Linked DNA regions of Bombyx mori. Each later gene encodes a partner of the first gene's protein in a complex. Links are inferred from orthologs where the notes say so. Each region holds a gene or a part of one and is shown in the gene's direction. Other genes may lie near its edges. The genes, in order: general transcription and DNA repair factor IIH helicase subunit XPB; DNA-directed RNA polymerases I, II, and III subunit RPABC5.

Evidence for each region.
Region 2: general transcription and DNA repair factor IIH helicase subunit XPB (region 1) and DNA-directed RNA polymerases I, II, and III subunit RPABC5 share a complex: the UniProt entries of both Homo sapiens proteins name them as parts of the TBP-based Pol II pre-initiation complex. The link is inferred for Bombyx mori from reciprocal best matches to the Homo sapiens genes ERCC3 and POLR2L.

Annotation. Positions count from the first base shown.
Region 1 is NC_085117.1:11,792,397-11,794,679, reverse strand, and holds part of general transcription and DNA repair factor IIH helicase subunit XPB, read left to right. Parts: intron 1-1,151; coding exon 1,152-1,341; intron 1,342-1,934; coding exon 1,935-2,077; intron 2,078-2,283. UniProt on the Homo sapiens protein: ATP-dependent 3'-5' DNA helicase/translocase. Binds dsDNA rather than ssDNA, unzipping it in a translocase rather than classical helicase activity. Component of the general transcription and DNA repair factor IIH (TFIIH) core complex.
Region 2 is NC_085133.1:5,484,616-5,488,576, forward strand, and holds DNA-directed RNA polymerases I, II, and III subunit RPABC5, read left to right. Parts: upstream 1-1,620; 5' UTR 1,621-1,897; coding exon 1,898-1,992; intron 1,993-3,032; coding exon 3,033-3,141; 3' UTR 3,142-3,207; downstream 3,208-3,961. Other genes in the region: polyamine-transporting ATPase 13A3, read right to left, coding at 1-72. UniProt on the Homo sapiens protein: DNA-dependent RNA polymerase catalyzes the transcription of DNA into RNA using the four ribonucleoside triphosphates as substrates.

The DNA of each region.
Region 1 (2,283 bases):
TGACCACGACAATATGTTTATGTAGCGATAACTCTACAAGGAACAAACAACACTGGCTGCGGGATTGACTATCATAACCCACAGAAACAGCCCACTGAGTTTCTCGCCGGATCTTCTCAGTAGATCTCGTTTCCAATCCGGTGCAACACTCCCGGTTTAAGCCCCGTAAGCTCACCTACTAGTTCGGTAAAACTAGAATACCACTCGAGGTTACTAGAATAGCTATAATAAAAAACGAAAAAAAGTTGAATATACAACGTTCCAATGTTTTCCATTTATCCACAATTAAATACATATGACGGATAAGGGCTACTTCCAAAGTGTTTTTAAAATGATGACGTCGTCGTCGTCGTCGAACCTGTCACTTGCGACGAAGGGCTCGGCGAGTAAATTAATCCACAGACACATCTCATTGAGTTTCTCGTCGGATCTTTTCAGCGGGTCTTGTTTCCAATCCGGAGGTAGATTCTGCGAAACACTGCTCTTGCTAGGGCTAATGTTAGCAACGTCGTCAGGTTTGAGCCCCGTGAGCCCACCTACTTACTTGTTACGCTACGCTGACATAGCCTCTCAAAGCTTATAATTAGCAGCAGTATCAGCTTAGGTAGGAAAAAGAAAAAGTACCTAATAGTGCGTGCTTACAACACCTATCTACCAGTTCACTTTGAATTGCTTGTCTCTTAACATCATATCTCATGCTTTTGAGAATTCAAGACTCAGACGTTTAATTCTCCAACGTTGTCGTCTCAAGGCTATCAGCATAAGTAGGAAAAAAAAAAAAAAAAAAAAGTTGTCGCGATCGCTCATGCGTATTAAAGTACATATACGTCACGTAATGTAATTGCAATATTTGTCAAGAAATGGCTTTCGTTGTCGCGTCTGTAACAACACGAACACGCAATGTAACACGAACATATCTAACGGACCGTTGACCCATATGCGTCAGCTAGTTTTGTAATCGCTATAAAATAAAATAAATAATTTTCGTAAAAATAAAAGTTGTCATGTCTGAAATCGCCAATCGCCGTGTAAAAATTATATTAAAAAAAATCGTTCAAAACTAATAAATGAAACATACAATTTGAATGGTGCTTTTGCTTTGCAATATTACGTAGGGTGTAATTTGTAATGAAACAATCTCCGCGTTGCAGCCATACATCTACGGGCCGACGTCCCAGAGCGAGCGAATACAGATCCTCCAGAATTTCAAGTTCAACCCTAAAGTGAATACGATATTCGTGAGTAAAGTCGCCGACACCAGCTTCGATCTGCCCGAAGCGAACGTGCTTATACAGATCTCTTCGCACGGAGGCTCCAGGCGACAAGAGGCACAGAGATTAGGTAAAGTTAACATGGATCTAAATTTATATTATAATATTTGTAGTAACTATATTTGAGACCTTAGAACTTATATCTCAAGGTGGGTGCCGCATTTACGTTGTGGATGTCTATGGGCTCCAGTAACCACTTAACACCAGGTGGGCTGTGAGCTCGTCCACACATTTAAGCAATAAAAAATAAAACTTCATCATCACTACATAGTATAAAACAAAGTCGCTTTCTCTGTCCCTATATTCTTTAAAACTACGAAACGGATTTTGATGCGTTTTTTTTTAATAGATAGAGTGATTTGAATAGGATGGTTTATATGTATAATAACATCCATGAAATAGTGGAGAAATCAATAATAAATTACAGTTTCCGAAGCGGAGCGAGGGCGGGTCGCTAGTATTGAATAATTAATGTAAAATCGCTTTGTGCGCGACGAGAGAATTTTCTAGATCTTGAATGGAATGTGGTAAAATGTGGCCAAAATAATAGAAATATATCTTTCTCGCTCTTTTTGGCACTAAATAAAGTTTAGGTTTGACGCGTCAACATCTTTGCAGTCGAGAGTATTCACTCATTTATTTAGTCTCCTTTGTAATTTCCAGGTCGTATTTTAAGAGCAAAGAAAGGCGCTTTGGCCGAAGAATATAATGCCTTTTTCTACACTCTAGTATCACAAGACACCTTGGAGATGGCTTACAGTAGAAAAAGACAAAGATTTCTTGTTAATCAGGGTTACAGTTATAAGGTAAATATGATATATGAGGCCTATAAAATCAAAGGCAGCTAAACGCCTTAATGTCGTAATATGTATTAACAATGGCTCTATCTTGTTTAGTTAGTTGAACATGCTTTAGTGTTTTCATGTTATAACAAATGCAGCTAAATCTCTAACAAATTTAGTTCAAAAAAGTTAAGTTTACTCTGTATTAAGTACTAATAAACGAAGTTTTA
Region 2 (3,961 bases), on another chromosome or scaffold:
TAAATACAGTGGTTCTCGAGAGCTATTTCCCTTATAATGTATCAAAGGTTGAATATCATCATCTGAATCCATTTTTTTTATTTCAATAATCGCACTACTTTGTAATATATTGTTTGTTTTTTTAATTTATCTAGTAGACTAATAAATTTAAATTTCATTACAGAAATGAAATCATATTAAGACATTTTTTTTTATACTTATTAAAATAATCTTAATGAATTCTTGTATTTCAATTGAGAACAAGGCTTTTGTTCATGAAATTAAAAATAAATTTAAAATTTCATACTGCAAAATTGCCTGATAACTGCACTGTCAGATATTTTTCACTATTATATCCGAATTAACGCTAAGGCCAGACCTTTGAAATTGTAAATAATTCAAAATACAACAGAAAAGTAAGAAAAATTATCACCAAAAAATTACAAAACCCCCTTGTTTGTTGTATTTCTTTTAATAATCTAATGTCAATTGTCAAAATATCATTTTTATTGATTCGTTCATATAGTACAGGCAAAGGAAATGGGACGCATACAGTAAAATGTTTTGTAATTTAAGCTGAAGCCAATCATCAGTCAAAGGTGAACTGGAACGAATAAACTGAATAATTGTATGAGACCGAATGGAAATTGTACGTTGTAGTTAATTTAGGGTTTCTTCAGACTTTAAAGCTTAAAATAATGGTTTATTAACCGTAAAACATTTGTTATAGTACACAAGTATGAGAAAATGGAGTAAAGCAGCTGGAAATGTATTTAGAACATATTTTTATGCAGCGCAGCATTGCAATGAGTCGATTCCTATATTGAGACGAAGCAGATAACACTGAAGGAGAAAATGAAATATACTTAACAACAACAACATCATAGGACTTGAATTACATGAAATTAAATAAATATCGCAGTAACTTATTATTAAGCAACTGACAGCCTAATGCATATTTTGGAAGAATACGAGAAGCTATGACTGACGTTCGTCTTTCATTTTCCCAAACTTTTGCATTTTCACATATTCCAAACGGTTCACAATTCACTCTCATTACACATGTAGATCTGATGAAATATTAAATTTACAAAATAAAATAATTAACTTTGGACTTTTGAGATTTCACAAATTCGATATGCTCTCCCATGCCTTAATGTACGGAATGAATGGTTGTTTTAACTTGATTTATTTACATTGAAAATTTGCCGATGATCACAAATGAAATGCTACGTACCATTTGACTGTCATCAATACTGATATGTTGCTGCAGGGATAAAGTCATTTTAACCTGAAATAATAGAGAAAACCATACATTTCACATTTTTTAAGAGACTGGCTTAGAAAATTTCTTGATTACTTATTAAAATATTCTAATAATAAGTAGACTGCTCCAAATATGCGTCAATCAATTTCACTCAAACGTTAAAAAGGAGCATATCTTACTCTCTAAAATCCAACCACTAAAAGTCAGTTTGGAAATTTAAAAAATAATTATGTACCATTCAAATGAAATGAACATTCATTCAATGTTTTAAAATGTTTTAAAAATAAAACATTAAAATTTGGTTCTATAGACTACATTCCTTTTGCCGATTGAAATCGACAAACAAAAATATCATATTTTCTTGTGACACTGTCATCTTTAATCATAAGTCATAGACAATACAATATGTAATCTATGACTGTCGTTGCGAGTCTAAAAAGTTTTTATCTCGAAGTAAAATAATATTATTGTGAATTGTAAAGAATAGAATTACAGTGTTTTCTCATTAAATTTAATGATACTTTGTAACTAAAATATCTTCTATTATTATTAAAAGTAAATACGTTTTATAAACCAAATAAATAGTTAAAGCATTGATACTTTATAACCCCAGTGCCTCACCACAACTTTAGGTTGTAGGAAATAAACAAAATGATTATTCCAGTACGATGTTTCACATGCGGGAAGGTTATAGGAAACAAATGGGAAGCTTACTTAGGCCTGCTACAGGCGGATTACACAGAAGGGTACTGTACAATTTAAGTTTTGCAACTGGTTTTTATACTTACCAATATTCTAGAACTTTAAAATGGAAATAACTGACATACATAATATAATGTAGTTATTTGATAAAAATTCAGCAAGAAAGATAAAACAGCTCCTCCCAGAAACAATATTAATGTTCTTATGAATTCAAATGACGGAATATGTAGGTGATTCCTGTTAACTTGGGTTTTTCTTATTTGCCAACTCATACTTACAGCCCACCTATCTTAAAGTGGTTATCATAATCCATAGGTCACAAGGTGGTAATTTTTTTTTTTTTTTTTTTTTTTTTTTTTTCCTACCTAAGCTGATAGCCCTAGCGGCTATTTCAGCGTAGCCTTAACTTTAGTAGGTGAGCTCACGGGGCTCAAACCTGACGATGTTGCTAACACGAACCCTAGCAAGAGTCGTGCTTCGCAGAATCTACCACCGGATCGGAAACGCGACCCACTGAGAAGATCCGGCGAGAAACTCAGTGGGCTGTGTCTGAGAATTAATTTACTCGTCGAGCCCTTCGTCGCAAGCGACGGGTTCGACGAGAACGGTGACCGGTGCTTGAAGTACCTAAAAGCACCGTTAGTGGATCAGGAGGATCCGAGATGACGTGTTTAGGGCGACGTCGACTGCTTTCCATTCTGTCCGCAGGATCGGGAATGAGGTGGTAATGATGGTAGATCTTGACACCAGATTAATCTCTGGACTGTTTTGCAATATCCAGTTTGAGTGTGAGGAAACGGAAGCATATAAGTGATAAATGTAAGATGATATCCTACTAGACAAGTAAGCTATGTAAAAAGTGGCCCGAGTTGATATAATCATTACTACCAACTGCAGCAATGAAATAAGATTGTTAATGCTTGTTAGCTTTGAGTATTCTTATACCTTTTTTAATGTGTTTATAGGCATAAGATTCTCTTGATAGTGATAGATTACTGGTAATCATCGAAGTCAGTTAAGCGTACTGTATACAGTAGATTTACTATGTGAATGTTAATATTTAATTGTATTTTTTTACTTTCAGTGATGCTTTGGATGTCCTTGGATTGAAAAGATACTGCTGCAGAAGAATGTTGCTCGGACACGTGGATCTCATTGAAAAACTCTTGAATTATTCCCCATTAGAAAAATAATGAAATATTTTTTAAAAAACACAATTAAAAATAAAAATCTATAATTGACATAAATTTTTTAAGATATTAGAGTTTTTCTTTCATACCTATATTAATCACCGCACAAAGGCTCTTGATTTACATGCCTCCCATTGTCAATGGAAAGTTTAACACAGTATTTATTTTAACTGGTCAAAGTCTCAAAGCCTAGGACATTGGTTCCTTCTGTCTATTTGTGAAGAAATTCTATCTCTACTGTATATTTAATAGCCAAAATTATTGTAAGCTCTAACATTTGAAAAATGACCTGCTGTTTGCTTCTTTTATAATCTGCATCAATTGAGGTTTGTATACGAGTGCGTGGGTGCAGGTTTTTGTCAGCTTATTAATATTCTGAATCGTTAAAGCCTTGAAACTATATAAACTAAATAAGAGTGATTTTTTCATGTACCAAAAAAAACTAGAGTAGGTTAAGACTAGTTACAAAAATTTTATTGTTATGAGACTTGTTTTAATTGCTTTTTACTTGTTACGGCCAATCCACATTTCATTATTGCTCATTATCAGCTCGTCACACACTTCAATTATCAATTTCTTTTATAATTGAAATTCAATCCTTTTTGACTTTGCCAAAATCCAGTTTTATAGTCTGTGGTTTTGGTTGTGCCCAGATGTCTTTTGGTGTGGTTTGTACTCTTGTTTGTTCTTTTATAGGCTTCGTGATTGCACAAGGTCACATAAATTTTAATTATTATTATTTTACAAAGTAATCAACTGTTGAATTACTTACCTAAAACAGGACAAACAATATATGAGGCCTATCAAATCAAAGGCAGCTAAA